Linked DNA regions of Lepisosteus oculatus. The protein of the gene in region 1 purifies or fractionates together with the protein of each later gene. This does not show direct contact. Links are inferred from orthologs where the notes say so. Each region holds a gene or a part of one and is shown in the gene's direction. Other genes may lie near its edges.

Evidence for each region.
Region 2: the proteins of acvr2ba (region 1) and inhbab purify together in Homo sapiens (affinity purification with western blotting; 3 studies listed by BioGRID and IntAct, with this or other methods). This does not show direct contact. The link is inferred for Lepisosteus oculatus from reciprocal best matches to the Homo sapiens genes ACVR2B and INHBA.

The regions. Positions count from the first base shown.
Region 1 is NC_090701.1:35,707,515-35,717,531, reverse strand, and holds the start of acvr2ba (activin receptor type-2B), read left to right. Parts: upstream 1-6,069; 5' UTR 6,070-6,487; coding exon 6,488-6,539; intron 6,540-10,017. UniProt on the Homo sapiens protein: Transmembrane serine/threonine kinase activin type-2 receptor forming an activin receptor complex with activin type-1 serine/threonine kinase receptors (ACVR1, ACVR1B or ACVR1c).
Region 2 is NC_090701.1:16,471,461-16,480,395, forward strand, and holds the start of inhbab (inhibin subunit beta Ab), read left to right. Parts: upstream 1-4,742; coding exon 4,743-5,136; intron 5,137-7,898; exon of another isoform or gene 7,899-8,120; intron 8,121-8,935. UniProt on the Homo sapiens protein: Inhibins/activins are involved in regulating a number of diverse functions such as hypothalamic and pituitary hormone secretion, gonadal hormone secretion, germ cell development and maturation, erythroid differentiation, insulin secretion, nerve cell survival, embryonic axial development or bone growth, depending on their subunit composition.

The DNA.
Region 1 (10,017 bases):
TCCATAAACTTAGCTGTTGCATAGTGGAATCCATCCACTCATTTTTTAACTGCTTTGTCCAGGACAGTGTAGCAGGAGAGCCAGAGCCTATCCTGGCAAGCAATGGGCACAAAGCAGGATTCACCCAGGATGGGAAGCCAGTCCATCACAGGGCAGACAGACACAAACACACACACTCATACTAGGAACGATTTTCCCAGAAGCCAATTAGCCTACCAGTATGACTTGGACTGTGGGAGGAAACCAGAGCACCTAGAGGAAACCCACGTGAACACAGGGACAAAACAAACTCTCCCCACAGACAGCACTCCAGGAATTGAACCTGGTGCAGTGTGGCACCAATGCTAACCACTGAACCACCGTGCCACCCATTTCTTGGCCAGAACTGAAATGCTAACTGCACTTATTTGGGCTTTGAATGAATGCTTTGATACCATTTTTATAATTTAGTCTGAGTGTAAATAATTTGTGTTTTTCCAGCTTTAGAAAAATAATCACTTAGCAAAAATGAAATCAAAATGTGCAGAAACTAAACTTAATTGATGATAAGGCATTGACAACTGCAAAATGTTATGGAGGGTAGAATACAAGTAATGACAACAAAAGTAATATTCCAATTAGCACGTAACTTGTTTAACTTAAAAAAAATAGATTCATTCTCTAAAGGTAATAGATCAGTAACATCTCAAATGGCAACATTCATTGTGCATGAAAAGTGAAATGATTCCCAAGGTGACAAATTCTTAAGCCTTGTTTATTTGAATCTCACAAATGGTAAAATCTGTCTACATTATTACTCAATCAAAAATAGTTCAGAATATTTACATTATTATTCTTAAACAAGACTTTGAATGATACAAAATTATTTAATCTTCACAACGTGTTTTATTATATATATTATATATGCATGCACAGTTTTGACTATGTTGTCTGTATTGTCATTTTGAGAAAGCACTGATCTGATGTAAAACTGATGTAAAATATTAAGCAGATATAAGGCAGAACCCATAGACTAAGAAAGAAAATGGTAATATGTGTTCATTAATGGAGTGATTGACAACATGCCTAAAAATGAAATAAGTGAACAGTTCAGTTTTGATTAATCTTAGTATTACCAAAGGTGTATGTTGCAGTGTCAAGGACTACATAAGCAAATCACCTCAGAAATTAGATATTATTCATAGTCAATTAATCATTACTCTTTTAACAGTTGTATATACAGATAGAGAATTGCACATCTAACACCCATCCACTAAAAGAGGGTAAAATCTTAGCCAGTCACCTAAAGACCAGTAAGTCTTCATTACGTATAAAGTTTTGAAGACATTAGAATCAACAAGAATCTTTTAGCTGTAAACTACATTTAAAGGATAGTCTTGCTGTTCCTACAGTAACTTACATAAACTTGACAGTGCAATTGCTAGTAAGCTTTTTAATGTTTAAAGAAAAACAGGGTGACTGCAAACCATGTAAAAGTTGCAAAAAATAAAAAATCAATATGTTTTAAAAATCAATGTATGCAGAGAGTAAAAGGAATACAAGTAATTAGTATCAGATAGGATATAAAACAATTACTTTTACTAGGGTTACTAGGCTTTAAGGGTATATTTTGGCTCAAGATCTAGGGTATATAGTGCAAAGTGCATAATGCAAACCAATGGAAGTTATAGTAAGTTTTCACAATGTAAAGTGCATGTTTTCGGTTACTATACAACAAAGATGACAGTGTTGCCCAAAGAAGAGTTTCTAGAGGAGTGATCACAATAATTTTAAGTCTAAAAAAGTTATGCATAGACAGGTTGAAGCAATTGAATGTCTTCAGGCTACAGAAAAATGAAGTAACAAGGTGACTTAACATAACTATTCAGAATCTTGAAAGGTATTGAGTGACAAAGTATAAATATGAAGCACTTCTTTTCACAAAGAGTTGTCAGTCTTTAACAAGCTACTGTATTTAGTCATCATACATCAAGATGCAGTTAGACCAGATTCTTAGATCTTTTAGTTTCTAGCAATCAGAAGAATAAGACAGGCCAAAGGCCTCCTGCTCCCTGTAATTCTTCACATATTGATAAGATTTTATGAACATATTTGATGTTATTTGGTATCTGCCTCTAAAGGACATTTTTATTTTGTAAAAGATTGATTTTGAAAAATATATATATATTGCTTTTCTGAAGTAAAAAACATATACAATGAGGTTCACTGATGTTAATTCATTTTAATCATAGATTTTTTGCTTTGGTTTAGAATTGTGGCAGAGTTTATGCACCACTTGTATAAAACATATTTAAGGGTCAAAAGTTTTGTTACCTTCATAAACAGAATTATATTTGAGCAAATATGTTGGTATTGTTTCACCATCATTATTACTGTAAAGGCACACATACAGTTCACACTTCACAAAGGGTGTGAAAACTAAAATATTAAAATATTTTTAGTGCAGCACTGAAAAAATCAGAAAAAATAAAAATGATATACATTTTAAAAATTTATTTTTGAAATGTGGTCCCAAAAGCAATAATATACTTTATGTTTTGCACCATAAAGTGTTCATTTAAGTATGAAGTTATACCTTTATGCCATATTGCTAATGATGTACATTTTATTGGTGTAATGCAGGACACACAATACCTTGTTTCAAAGCACAAATTATAAATGCACCTTTTCCATAAAGCTTTTAATGTAACTGCTTCAAAGCTAACAAAAAGTTAAGTGTTAAGACCATGAAATTGAGATACAGATTTGCAAATAATGGGACTGTGTATCAAGAAGGCTAAAATTCAGTAATACTTTTCTTTTAACAAAACACACTTAAGAGTGAGTTTCATATTGATTTAATTTAATTGAACTTTAAAGAAACAATTTTATCTTTTGTGATACGTTCTTGAAGGCACATTAAATGTACAGAGTGACGTAAAACACATTTCCATGGTTGAAATACTTTTATAACACTAAAATATGTCCCTGTGACAGAAGATGCATATGGTAAATTCATTGCTTTGTTTATCACTGCAAAAACCTGATGAAACACATTCCACACTTATATGGCCAGGCTTTGGCGGGGATCACAGATGCCAAGTAACAGGTGTGACCACCTGGAGCCCTGAAACAAGCCATAAGCCATAAGCCATAAACCACATCTTAAACAGACTTTTGAGAGAACTGTACATCCTGCAGAAATTCCTGCAATGGCCTAAGGCTGAAGATACTGCATCATGGTTGAATATGATGGCCCAACACATCCCACAAAGGTTCAGCTGCACTCATATCAGGTGAACTTGAAGGTCAATCCTACACTTGAATATCGTATGCATGAAGGAATGCTTGCTTAACCCTAGTTGAGTGGAGGCTGGCATTATAGGATTAGAAAATAAGATGTCTTTGTCTGCAAGGTTGCATTAATTAGTTTGTGGAAGACCTATTGCAAGATTTTGCCCACTTGGGGCTGTGTTTACCCTGAATAGCAGATTCTGATAAACCCTGAGCTGAACTAGTTGCACCCTGCACTATCACTCCTCCTCTTACAAAACGTGTTAATGCAAATTTCTTTAACTGGACGTCAGCTTCTTAAACTGCCTGCTTCTGCTGGGCGAATCAGTGTTAATTGGTAAGAATTGGCTATGACAAAGCCAACGACACCACAATACACAGTTTACCATAAGGCTTTGATGTACTGCAGAAAATATTCTGTCGGTATTTTGAATGTTTTAGGTTCAGATTACAGCATCTGTTGCGTCTCTGCTTCATTGAAACTGGTTGCAATGCTGATAAAGAAAAGTTCCTTTCACGTCTTCCTGCGGTGATACTGTATGTAAGGTACCAGAATAGGGACTACCACTAACACAACCAGTTGTCACCAGTTGTCTTGGCACTAACAGCAAATGGTTGCTGCATGTACACTTAGATGATCTGCAACCAAATGCTGTAACATTCCAGCATTCCAACATCAAAATTCCCAGTCCCTTCAAATTCATCACTCTTGGTACTAATGTTTTGCATTTGAGCTGAATGATATTATGAACTGTTCCATTTGTACTACTAACTGGTACAATTGGGCAGTATGGTGGCACAGTGGTTAGCATTGCTTCCTTGCAGCTCTGAGGACTTGGGTTCAGTTCTGGGGTTGCAATCTGAGTGGAGTTTGTATGTTCTCCTTGTGTTTGTCTGCGTTTCCTCTGTGTGCTCCAATTTCCTCCCACAGTCCAAAAGACTTCCTGGTAGGTTAATTGGCTTCTTTAAAAACTGAACCTGGTATGTGTCTTTGTGTGTGTTCTGAGATAGACTGGCTTTCTGTCCTCGGTGTATCCCTAGGACGAGGTCCTTGGATTAATTAAGTACTAATTACCATTCCAAATGGGCTCGATAGGCTGAGTGGTCTCCTCTAGTTTTAAACCTTTCTTAAGTTCTTATGAGACCTCAGAATGCGTGTCAGTGGCTGCTGCAGAATTCTGTAGTAAAACTAAACTCTCAAGCTGTTCACCGCCTTCTGTGAATCCAGGGAATCAGATGAAAGAAAGAAGGAAACAGAAAGAAGAAACCAAGACAGGAGCAAAGATAGTGCTCTAAAAATCTGTGCTACTTGAAAGCCTGATCTAATCACACAATGTACAGTATGAACGTGTGAGGCATTTTTCTCCATCTTTAACATGCCTACATAAATTTACGCAGCCTTAAATCATTTATTTCCCTTAAAGTAAGCTACCTCCGTTCAACTGGTTTAAAACTCTTTTATTTCAGTATAAACACTCAGTAGCTCTTTCTCACAAATCAATTACTGGAGAGCAATAAAGAAGTCACCTTAAGGGGTAGCTCCATGTGGCCTGAAAGAGAAAGTGAGTTTTTAATACATTAATACTTTCACATATACTGAGAAATACTTTCACATATACTGAGAGGCATTAAAAATGCAACAGCTATTTTACGTACTTGATTGTTTTTAATGACTCTTTTGTCTATGTGAATGTCTGTTTACACTTTTGTATTGGTACACTTTTTTAAACGTAAAATAACATGAAAAATTGGATATTAGACGGGGTAAATTAATTTGCGGCAAAACTCTCAAAATGTATACACAGCAATTGCACTTCCTCCATCTTTTGTATCTCTTTTTATATATCTAAACGTCTCTAAATGTGAAAAAAAAACGTCCCAGAAATAGGTCAGGTGAATTTCAATGCAAAATTGACGATGCTGTAATGGTTTTAACAACCCTTAGTGTAAATTAAAGCATGCTTAATATATAACAGCGATCACTATCTGATGCTAATACATGTTTTTTTTTGCCTACGTCTTCCTGTATTCTCCCACACTAATATTAAATGGTGTTGATTTTACATACACTTTAACACAATGTATTTCTACTGCTGATAGTTATAATACAACTGAAAGCTACAGTACATTGAAGTTATCACAAAACCCGAGAAGAAATAAAAACAACCACCGACTTCCTTTATTACTGATAAGGCTGGTCTTAATTCTATAGAGTATATGCACTATTCCCTTTTCATTCTAAAATTCCTGGGTAAGAATTAGCCTACGTACAATTTTATGTACAATGATGACACTTATTTCTGAACTTTCAGGCCATGACCATAACATAGTTAGTTCAGCATAACTGATATTGTTGCCACAGAGTGACATGCTATACGGGAGTAGCTTGTTTTTTTAAAACAAATGTTCTTGTCGATTTCATCTCGTATTCACGTGTTTGCAGAGATAATGGTATGCATTCTAGACTATATGCAATATCACAGGAATTGCTTACAGGCTTTGGGCTGTGCTTTATTGCTTTCCCGTGGATTCCTAGAGTCTATACATAAACTGATAATTAAAACGTCGTTCTTAATATTTTCAATCGACCGTACACTTCCTGGGAATGTCTTACTAACGGTTTGTAATACTATCCTCCTTTCTCGCCGTGGTTCCACTTGGCTTGCGGGCTCTCTTACTAGATCGCCACTGCAAGCCCAATAACAACATTACTGCACCCCCCTACCCTGCCTCTTTGATTGCATTCCTCTCTTTGTATTTAAACATCCGGGTTTCCCAACTGGCTTTGCTTTACTCTCTTCTCCTCTCAGAAGCCATTTTGGACTCAGTTCAGTTTCTTGCATGTCAATTTAGCCCAGTCTCTCTGGCTATTCAGTGTTTTTAAGCAAAAAAGGGGGTAGCGCGAAAGGTAGACGGGGAAAAACACTACAATACAGCAGGCAGAGTTGTTTTGTATTATTGACATTAATATCTGGAAATTATTTTCTCCCGATGGATTTGCCTATATTTTAAAGTTTTTTATTATCCGTACCCGAACATTTTTCCCACTGGGCTCCACACACAAAAGCAACGCAAACTCTCTTGGTGCTTTGGACATCTGGGGCCCTGGGTCATTTGGCTCGTTGTGTTGTGCTGATAAGCTCTTTAAATGTTCGGAAAGGAAAAGCGCTTTAAACGGAGAAAATCTGGTGCGCTTTTCTCAAATTAAAGGAATATGTTTGCGTCCTGGCTGACTTTTGCGCTTCTTTGGGGAACTTTTTGTGCAGGTAAGGACTTGTTTATTCATTTGTTGCGATTAATGAATTTGATATAATCGTAAAACCCACATGAATTTGGCCGAGGACGTTGTTCAAGGGGTGGCCGAAAGTGGCAGAATAATTTCCTTGCAGTTTGTTTTCTGTGGGATTCGGTTTTAAAATATTTTTCACTCGTCATTGTGGTACAAATTCTTTAGTCATTTCTATCTTTTAATGAGTAGCGTCGCATTTAGGAACTTTTTAATTCTTTATTTTATGTGTACTTTTGGTGTTACTGAACAGGGTATCAAATTTGAATGATCCAGGGTTGTTAAAGGTACGCTTCATGGTATTACGTTATAAAGGGCTCTGTAACAATCGAAAATGTTACAATTGCAAGCAATTTGTGAAAATGTTTCTCCGACCACTACTTGCTCATCGAATCGTTATTGTTAACATTTTTTGTAGCTCAGGTAGCAACACATTGTTTTTGTTGTTTAGACGAGTCCTTACATTGACAATTTCATGAACATTGCTTAGATTACTGCAAAAATGTTTCTGTAGAGATGTGCACTTTTAAAAATGAAAGAGTGGACTTTGTTTTTACCCAGTAGTCATGTGGGCTGGTTTGCGATAGGAATGATCTAATTGAAAGTTGTAGAATACCAACCGCACTGGTTTCGGATTCCTTCGCATTTTCCCCATTAAATCCCTCGTTTTAAATTACCACGTGCGACAGATAACGATGTTCCCTCTTCGGCGAATGCAGTCTGTTTTAGCTCAAATGTCCATCTTTCACAACATAACCGAGAATGGTGAGATGAAACTTGGCATGTGGGTGTAATTGCTTCAGCATTTTTGATAGAACCATTTTAGTCCCCCAACCAGATTTGCACAACTAGTAGTATAATCAAGAACACGATACTGCCTGGATGTTTTGTTTTCCGGGCACGATATCAAACTTGCATGCTAACTGATCTTGGTGAAACATGCATTTCCGTATTACCTGTTTCGTTAGTAATTACATCCATAAACATTGATTTCGATTTAAATGAACAGATAATTGAATTTTGGATCCTGCATGGCTGCTTTGTTGTGCGGTTCCCTCCTTGTTTTGACGAGTTTGGGGGAGGGGTACCGGGGGGAGTGAAAACAACCCTTTGTGCGTATTTTCATAGTAAAGAAATTAAATTCGAATTAAGTGTTACTTTCTCCCTTTACTGAAAGTAAATATGAAAACACCTTCTAAAATATCAAAATGACGCTGTTCTGTAACATGCACCTAATTTGGCGAATTGTTAAATACCGATGTAGGTCTGTTTTTTTGTTTATAAAATCACGTCTTTTCCTTATTTAAATGGCAATTGAACTATGCTCTGTTTTCGCAATTTTTCTTCGTAAGAGAACTAAAGCACGAATCACAAAGACGGTTGTTCCAATTTATTTTAACACTCGTATAGCGGACTTTAGTCGTGCATTTGCGTTTATTTTCCTTTTAGTCAAAATGTTTACAAAATGAGCACGTGAAATTGCTCGGGCTAGCTTTGTTTTTCTTTGTTAGGTCCTGCGTTGAATGCGCAAAGGCTATTGTATAGCTTGCGTTTTGAATGTAATAAATGTTGATGTAATACGCTCAAGAGAAAATGTGACCGTAGCAAGTAAAATGTGCTTATTGCTCTTTGTTTTTAGAGGAATATTGTTCATACTTTACGTTTAATTTTGATCATTGCTAATTCGCTTTTCCTGTACTATCCTGAACTGAACTATTGTTATTGGCTTTACATCGTATCTTGCTTTTTTGTTTTTTAAGGTCAGGTTTTGGATTTTTGTGCCGTTTTGGCTTGAGCTCTGTGGCGTCTTTAAGCAGTTTTGCTAAATTTACTTCTGGAAAAAGTTGATAAGAATGTTTACTGACAACTATGACATTTGTGTCATTTTCACTTTTTTTTTAATTTGAGTTTTTAAGATGATACAGAAATCTGGGAGGATTCCCATGAAAGCATGAAGTTTAAAACAATGTTTAAGTGGCATATGTATATTTTCTTTAAGTTATTAGAGGTTTCTTGATTATTAGAAGGACTTAAAACAGCAATTGCCTGGTCAGTTTTTGTGTGCATCTTTGAGTAGGAATATAAAATAGGTCTCGAGGTCGAGTATTGGAGCTTATGGGCTCCAACAATAATAAAATGCTACTATTTTGTTAAACTAAAATTAAACTCCTCGGTTGTTAATGTAACTGTAATGGGTTTGTACACATTGCATATAAGACCGGCTTTATCGAAAAAACATTGTATCAACATATTGCTACTTTATGACGAGCTAAGTGAATTACCATTTTTAAAAGACTACTCTATGGAAGGATTTTATGTTTTTTTTTTTAACCAGATGGCATATTCTATTTCACAAAAAGTTCGTTTGTAATCGCAGTATTTTTTTCTTCGAGCTTTTTTATCCATAAAATGTTTTTTAGACATAAACGCGTTAATTTAAGGAAAACAAAATAATAGTAAATGAGCTAATAGGTCTAATTTATTAGAACAGTAGCTGTGGTGATTAATTGTGAACATGCAATCAATGCTGAAATTTACAGAAGTTTGTGATCATTGGGGGGAAAAAGTTCATATAATCTGTCATTTTACTTGGTGCATGTATTGCATTGGTGTTTGGGACATTTTATAATTCACATAATCTGAGTGATTAAACCATCATAATTTAACTTGTGATTCCGGAATACTCAAACGGAGAAGATAAAAGATTCCCTCTCTTTCAACTGCAGATGTTTTGAGATGCACCTCCAAACGACTTCCTTCTTAAATGTGCGATTCCATATAAAAGCGCTTCCTTGGTAATGTGTATTCATTCAAATCTGTGTGGCGATTAAGTAGCACCTACACCCTTATCGTGGTTTTATTGCCGATAACTGAACACAAAAAAGGAATGCTGTAGGTTTTGAACTCTGCTGTCTCAATGAATCCGTGCTCGCTCTTCAGTATTGTTGGGTGTGTGGCTTCTGTTTGTGTGTGAGGGATTGAGGGGGTGGGGTGGGATGATGTTGTAATAGCCCTCTTATCACATGACTGCTGGATCAGTATTAACAGCGTATCTCTACCATGTCTACTGGGCGCTCTGTTCAGTTGCAAATTTTCAAAGGTTTTGGCCACATGGTTATTGGAAAGAGGAGAAAAAAGGTTATGGTGGTACCATGTTTGAATGTTGTAAAATCTGATCACTTTAGCATAACCTGATTATTTTAACCAAGCTGATAAAATAGAGAAATGCTGGGGTTAGTTTGTTGCAGTGTATTTGCTTTGTAGTATTTTGGTTTGATGGAGGGTAGCGATAAACATTGGGGAAATGGGGGGATGGGCACACTCCAGCAAGAGCCAGGATTTAAAGCGGCAGGCACTATTTTTTTTTCTCTAAGAGAACAAAGGTGGTGTTGGTAATATTTTTGATTATGGTAGAATTGAGCTTTTATTCTCTATCCACCTCGTCCATATCGAAAGGA
Region 2 (8,935 bases), about 19 Mb from region 1:
CTTTACTTACTGAAGTTCTACTGGTAAATCAGGTTTGTAGTGAGAATCTAGAGCTAATCAAGAGCATCACATTAAGTGGTCCCTTCAATACAATTTTAGTCTGATTGAAAACAGAAAAAGGCAGATGAACCCAGCACTTCAAGTGTATAAATTATCATTTGACCAGGTTTTTTCTCTGTGTAGGAAGTGGTGGAATCAATGGCTTTATTATGTCTGACATTAAAAAAATGAATGGTTTAATAAACTTTAAATGTTCTTAATGATTTAACAGTTAACGTGTGTGTTCTTTTGCTAGGTTCACAGTAGGTAAGAATTGTTCAACTGTGTTGGATGGATGGATAGATCTCGTACCTAACAATATATAGTGTATGTATGTCAACATTAAACTGTTGAGATTGTCATGTTTTTTCATTCAATTGTTCTAAAACACAAGAAACATTTAAGAATGGAAAAAAAATACCTGCAATACATGTTTCCTAAATTTGTGAAGATTGTTTCCTCTTTTGTAGCTTTTGTTAAAATACAGTACATTATTTTTGAATTATATCATACATACACTAAATATTGTTAGGTACGAGATCTATCCATCCATCCAACACAGTTGGCAACAAGAGCAAGACAGGATACACCCTGGACGAGACCACAGTCCATCACAGGACACACACAGGCACAGACCTGCACACACTCACACCTGGATCACTTTTTCAGGTGCCAGTATGTCTTTGTACTGTGGGAGGAAACCGGGAAACCTGGAGAAAAACCATATGTACACAGGGACAACATACAAACTCCACACAAACAGCACCCCAGGACTTTATCCCAGGGTCTCACCACTGCGAGGCTGGTTATCCAAAGCACCATTGTGCCGCACCTTAGATATAATATATATATATTAAATTGTATTTTAGGATAAATTCTCATAGCACACAAAATGCCACGAAGTGCAGACAAACTATATTTTTACTCATTCATGTTATTTGGTCTATAATTGTAAACCATCCCATTGACAAGTTCCTGTCTGAAGAATACTGCTACATTTGGCTTCACCATGTAAAGCTTCTGTGGCAGAGCTAATTCAGCACAGTTGTATAGAAATTTGGCAAACACGCAAGTTAACAGGGAAATCCAAGACTTTTACTCATTTAAAATTACTGAGTTTATTCTCAGAGATCCAATCAAAAGTAATGCATTACTCTGACCCATTGTTAAAAATGTTTTTCTTACTAATCAAACATTTCTGAGAGCAGCAGAATGAGATCATTTCATTAATTAGCAGTAAAAAGTGGCATGTACTGTATTTGTAGCTGCATTATGTCACATTCAGCTAGCTCAAAATAGCATCAAATAACATATCTGATACTATATCTTCTTAATAAAAAAGTATCAGTTATGAGATCAAAATGTTTTAATCATTTCACCACCCACCCTATCTAGCACAAACAGCAGGATAGCCACAGTGATGCTTCATGGTTAGAAAAAGTGAATCATTTAGCAAATGTTCCCCCTCCTAAAATTGTGAGGACTTAAGTTCTGAGCACGTCCTCCATTCCAGCACTACATCATTCTGTCCTGCCTCCAGGACAATTCAGCACTAACTATACTTTAGAGATAGTTTGCCCCCTAGTGGGAAAAAAAAAACATGGTTGTCCCTTCCAACTATTTTTAATCAACGAGCTTCCAAAAATATTAATTTGGTCAGGCAAAACTTTAGTAATGCCTTCTAGCTCAACTGTAAGTTTTTCATTAAAAAAAAACTTGTGAAATCTGATAATACAGCAATGCTAGAAACGAAATAGGGAAGTCATGGTGATGTTTGTAAGATAGTAGATGGAAAACAACATTATAGTGAAAATAATACTATATATGCATATCTACCATAATGAAATTTATCTGTGTTTGCTTTTGGCTGCAAGTTAGAAAATGGGTTTAGCTGGCACTATGAACCACAGAATTTTGTTCTAAGCACTCATAAGATAAGAGACAGGGGGGAAATCATTATAGACAGACAAATTTAGTTCATTCTACTGAAAAGGAAGGCCAGTGTTCAGAAATTGCTCTGAAGATATGAGAGAAATAGATCTAGTTACTACCAGTCATGGGGGAATCCTCATGTAGTTCTGCAAGACTGTTGCAGGTATTATCCTAATAAGATAAGGCTGAAATGTAGATATTTTGAGAGGAGATGAATAAATCAGGCCAAACAATCTGAGAAGTGTGTGTGGGGAGGTAAAATTTGGTATGATAAATACAGGATGTAAAAATGACTAAAATAAAGCCTTTAAACAAATTTCACATGACAGTTCAGATTAGACAGAACCACCTCTCGCCTTTCCAAAAAGTAATCTTGCATTACATTGTTCATGTGTTAATGTTATATAATTGTCTACATTTGATCATTCACATCTTCTTCAAAAATGTTATTTTGTCAACTTTTTCCTCCAAGAGAAGAATAATGTTTTAGTCCAATGCAGAACTTTTTTTTTTTCTTGAGATGTGGGATGTAAGCAGTCCTACCAATATTTGCCCTTAAAGGTCTCCACCTCTATATGACTGAGCTGCAACTGTATTATTCCTCCTCATTTTTTTCCCCTTTAGGCCAACATTAATAACAGAGCTCACACCCATGCCAACGAGGAGTCACACTGCATCTGCAGGCCTACTCTGAGTCCCAGGATGATGAGAGTGATGGGATCACCACTCACATCCCTCCAGATCGAAAGCAGGCCAACACTAGTAATATTAAGCCATCTGTCTGTGCTAATCAGCTACAACAGCTGCAATACTGAGGGCTGACAAGAAAATGGGGAATATGCAGGAAAAAATAACATAATATTAATAACATCCCACTTCTTCAAAATATTGTTTGACCTTAAGAGGTCTGATCACAAGCATTCCAAGGAAGTATACCCAACTCCAGGCCAGCATCACTCAAGATGAATTTAATATGTACTGAGAGCATGAAGATGGCGCAAGTTCTGAAATTAATTACCTACCCTGCGGAGCATGAAGTTGAGAGGTAACAGAAATAAGAGAACAGGAGTTGTGAAGAGCACAGTAATAGTTGTTAGGTTGCTAGGTTACTGAAATTTGGGTGAAAGAAACATTTTTTGCCAGCAGAGGCTGCTGCTGAGTTAATTGACCTCACTAGTTCATATGGACATAACCAAAATACCTGAATAAGTCAATGTAAGCTGTGCAGTTGCTAAGTCTTTACAAAAAAGGAAAGAAAGAGCCCAGAATGCATGTCCTTTGAGATTTCTTCAAAGAAATCAAGAGCACGTTTGTTCATGTCTGTTAAGTAAACTAAAAAATTAAAAGGAAACAAAGAACAATGACTATTCTCTTGCTTAAAATTTTCTAGAAAGTGTCAAAATGACTTCTAAAGTACAGTATAAGAGAGCTGAAGAAGGCACACACTGCAAAGTCATTGGAGCCGGACCACAGGAAAACCCTGGCCAACCTCAAACCCCTGGCAGTACTTTGTCAAATGTGACGTTTCCTCTGGGAAACCCTGACCAGGGATATATGTAGCTCATGACATTGCCTAGATTTGAACCAGTGATCTCTGAACTGCAGTACAGGGTCCAACTTGTGCTCCAACAGGAGGCCATAGCCAAACCATTCAGGAACCTAGCTTATGGTTTTGAGAAATTTCCTTGTCAGACTTTTTCTGAATGATTGTTAAAAATGAGTTGTGGTTATACAAAGCACTTAGTCACAAAATGACATTTTTTCAAAAGCAAGTACATCAGGAAACGAGGAAACCTTTACTTTCCAATGTGCTCCTTTCTGACTAATTGTTTAGTGTGTGTATAGTTGAGCTTTAAACTCAAAAACATTTTGTTTAGAAGAACAATAATAATCTAGACAAAAATCAAGGTGCTGTCTTCAAAGAGGTTATTTATGATACAGAGGAAGTGAGTTACAAAGTGATAGGTATTTCATGTATAACTATGTCCACTGGCCCAGCGCAGCAAGAAAGGCTAATTTACAGATTTTATTCAGCATTAATAAAACCTTACCAGATGTTCACAAATGTTTGCAGTGAAATGCTTCTAAGATAATACACATAGTTTCCTTAATATTAAATCATCAAAAATGCAAAAAAGAATCGATTATGAATGATAACATTGATTGCACCTGTACAATTAGACCCAGTTGGACAGTATCAAGCCTTTTCACACGTTAATGATATATTTTTGTAGTTAAATAAATGAGAAGCTTGAGAGAAGCAGAAAACCAGAACAAGATAAGAACATGAAAAGGAGGTGAAGTTTATGTATAATATGCAGGGTGACAAGCAATAAAAAAAAGAAAAAGTTGGTATAACATGACTCAGAAGTATAGTGATAGAAAAACTGGGAGGGAGCGAGGTATAATTAGAGGGAGAGAGAGTGAGAGAGTGAGTGAGCTAACCCTGCCCACTTATACAAAACCATTCAGCTCATACACAGCGAACTCACTGAGACCTATCGGGTGCTCTGCACATCCCTCCAGCACTACACATCTACACTGCCACAGAACTTCAGCTGATAAACTTAGAAAAACTTTTTTTGACTAACTGATCAAGACTTCGGTAGCTACCAGACTCAAACTTTCCAGATCTGCAAAGTGTTTGCTCTTGCTTCTTTATTTTAAAAAAAGGGATTATACTTTATTTTTGCTTAGTTTCTACTTTGTTTTTTTTTTCAGTTTTAGTGTAAAAAGGGGGAAAACTTACAACTCAGATTGACTCTTTCAGGATGTCTTTTTCTCTGCTGAGTGGAATGTTGTTGCTCTTCTCTGGGATTTTGGCAGGGAGCTCTCCCACCCCTGGCTCCCCTGATGGACACACGCCGGTCACCGACTGTCCCTCTTGTGCCCTCTCCAAGCTGCAGAAAGATGTGCCTGCCAGCTCCCAAGCAGATATGGTCGAGGCCGTCAAGAAGCACATCTTGAGCATGCTGCATCTGAAGGAAAGACCCAACATCACCCACCCCGTGCCCAGGGCAGCCCTGCTGAATGCCATCAAAAAACTACACGTGGGAAAAGTTGGCGAGGATGGCAACGTGGAGATTGAGGATGAGGCTCACAGCCGGGCAGAGATGAGCGAGCTGGCGGAGCAAACTTCGGAAATCATCACTTTTGCTGAGGCAGGTGAGTAGCCCATGTCTGAACTGAGGGGGGGAGATTTAATGGCAAGGTGTGGAAGAGGGCAGGTCTTCAACCCAGTTAGACAGGTTTGTAAACATAATTCTCTTGGAAGCAGCTGAGGCTGAGGAACAAGCCTAATGCACTAGAATTTAAGATTTTAAGACCTGTTATCTAAAACTGTACTCAGGCACCCCTCTTAAAGGTATTTTGTTGCATCCTACTGATTGAAGGCTAGATACCCAATTACCTACTAAAACTACGTTCACAACTTCAGCACGTAGAAGATGTGAATATTTGTGATTCCTGACTCTTCAGAGCTGTCTATTTGTCACCTTTTGTACTGCAGGGAGACAATTTCATAGAGTGCACTCCAGCATTCTCAATAACTGAAGAAAATCCTCCTGACTGCTGCTTCTTACAAAGTGTGCCTGTTAGCACAGTTCAGGAGTCAGAGACCCCTACTGTTTCACAGTAAATCTAACGTCTAAATGTTTTTTTACAGAAAATGCACAGTCCAGATAGCAATTGGACTCAGCATTGAACAACAGACCCTGTTGTCCTGAAACATGCCACTTTTTTAATGTGGGAAAAGTAACATTGCAAAAAGTCAATTCCTCATTATATTGGCATAAAAAAGTACACATACATTCACACAATCAACTAAATGAAATGAAAGAATGAAAAATTTGAATGAATATTCTGTGCTATGACAAAAAGAGCAAAAGAGGGTTCTGACTAGTAGGTGGGAGACCCAAGTTCAAAGCAAGCCAAAACTCACTGAGCCTGACAGTCTTTGAAAATCAACAGCTTAATCTGAAGTGATTAGATAAACTTGCTTGTAGAGAGTATGTAAAACTCCTTAAATTAACAGGATTAATTTGGCAGCAGGAAGCCCTGAAATGAGCTGTAATGAGAAAAGTCTGCTCCACAAAACTGTATGGCAAAGAGCTTCTATTCATTGTATTCATTGGCAGTGAATGACACCTGTACTTTGCTCAAGAGCTCTACAGATCAAAAAGTGGACTGTACAGATTAACAAAATAAAAGAACACGAGAGTTCACTGAAGTGGCAATGTTCTGGCAAGGCGTGCACTGAGACCAATTGTTTGACTTTAATGAAAGATTTTTACTACACCAGTATAATGATGTCAAGTTGTTCAGAGGATGTTAGGAGTACTGGAGAATCTGCATTTATGAAACTTAATGACTGAGAGCCACTGTATTCAGCATGTTCATGTCTAACTGACTTTCAACCTTTTCTAATTATTTTCAAAGAGGAATTTTTGCAGTTAAAAATATGGTAGTTATTTAGTATACTACAAACTATGTTTTTCATTGTTAAACAGTAAGTATACAGTAAATAGTCCTAAAACTTTTGTTTCTAACTCATTTAGATAAAACTTCAAACTGCGCAAAAAAGCATGAGATACAAATTGGATACCTGGATTTACACAGTAGTGCCAGAAGCAGATATTTAAAATTAAAATGATTGCATTTGTCACTTGTAAAACAATTTTGAATGAGTATCTTTTAATTTCTGGCATGTCCCAGTATTCTGCCAAAGGGATTTGTGCTACAGTAGTTATCGATTATCTAATTCAGAAAGCTAAGTTTTTTACCTTTTTTTTCTGGGCGAAAAAAGGTTGACATTGCCTACTTTCTGAGGTTCCAAACCTATATTGTATTGCAAATCAGCATGCTACCTCACTTGATGACTGGCCTACGTGACCTCACCGTTGACCTTATTAATGACAGAACAATCTCACCCAAGTCCTGCTGCTAAACTTTCTTTGAGGCACAAACAAAGTCGGTTGACTTTTAGTCCAATAATGAGCAAGCACTAGTACTTCAGGTACCGAAATCTCTCATATCAAGTCTAGTAAATGCAGTGGAGCTTTAATCTATCATGATGCATGCTTTCGACTTCCTAAACATCAAACGGTCCATAGACGAAATGCCGCAAATTCTGTTGTACGCAGCAGTAACACACGTGTGTAAAGTGGTCATAGGACAAATCCAGGTTTATATTGCCATCAAACACGTAAAACCTGCAACACTTTACTTCAAGTGCTTTGAAGGGCTGAAGGAAGACGGTTGTCAGATACAGTATACGCAAATCTTCCTTTCCATAGCCTTAAAGAAACATGAGCATCAGAAACATTTTCTTTTGGAGATAAGTAGACCTAAGACGTACAGTGTTTTGGACTCGTTAGTAACCCATACTTGATATTCGTAAAATATTGCAAAAAAAAACCCCAAATTGTATTTGATTAATTCGGCGAATTGCATTTTGTTGACTTTAACTATTACATTTATGCTCATCCCGCTTTATTGTGAAAATAAAATAACGTCAGGCTTGCTACAGTATGCTCATCAATTTGAACAGCTCTTACGTTTAAATGTCATTACTGACATGAAACAGATTTTATTTTAGATTTCACGGAACACTCGTCAAATTACATTCCAACCTCACTGCTCCCAATGGATTAAGCAGAAATGCCAAAGCTTCATTAGTGTTACTTTTTTATCTTAAAGGTAAAACAATTTAACGTGCGTCCTTTCAAGACACGTGACCCATACGTTAATATTACCTTTAAAGAAATCCTTACGGGAAAGATGCGGCTCGCTTGCACAGCAACTCTGTGCGTCCATGTTTTCAAATAAATCGTGGACATACCGAGAACTCTTATTCCTTATGATCTATACAAAGTAAGCCTGACGTAAATCCTCTGATACATCGATAAGAAAAAGATAAAGAGTCTTACCCGATTTAAATGCAGATAAGAAGACCCTCCTTTCACAACCTTTATCCACTATTCATTTTTTTCTCACCAAAGAAATGCTTGCCGTCAATTTTTATCATTTTTACATGCGATTCCGCACGAAAACCACAAGAGGGAACCGCTGACAGACGGCTGTACTTGTCTGTATACCTCTAATAAAATAAAAATAACCAAAACAATAAAAAAAAAATCTAGGCTTAAACGTCCAAACAGGGATTTCCTCGTGACTAGTACATCAGTATTCTGATACCAGTTTTAATTTCCATATTCTTTTTGAAAAAAAGTATCTTCATGCATGCCATGGAAAAAAATGCTATTAACACATACTGTACAGTATATACAGTACAGTGTATACTTGTTTGACATTTCATATCGTCCTCCTTTTAAACTAATTGATTTTGCTTATTTTTGCAAACATTCAATTATATGGCAATCTTCAACTGAATTGTTAACCATTTTATTTTAACTAATCCCCAGATTCTGTTTTATAGTACAAAAATAGCCTTTCAGCTTTATGACTATTAAAGAGAGGAAAGAGGAGACGATTTTGTTAATGACAAGGAGCACCTCAGAAAAATCAAAGGCGTTATAATAGAAAACACTAGTGGAGGTATTAACTAAATTGTTGCTGCTTCATAATACCCACTGTGTCTAAGATAAGTAAGCACAGTGGTGAACATCTCTATACACCACTCATACTGTATGTTTTTGTCATCAGGAATTGCATTGCTCATATTTCCATAAGAATGATGCTCATAATAGCTCTTCACTATTAATAGCTCATGAGAGCCGTTACATTAAAACTTCAGTGCACACTTTTGTCCTATGAGGTTTCGTAATCAAAGAATGGAGATATTAACAATGCAACACAGAGCACAGAAGCAGACTAGAAGCAGGCTGCGCAATTCTTCAAACAATGCTGTGCTTAATTGCTTCATTCAGAGAAATGCAGGCCCTGATACTTGGTTAAGCCTGCCTATCATGCTGATGAGCAGTGTGACCGACTTTGAAAGAGTTTC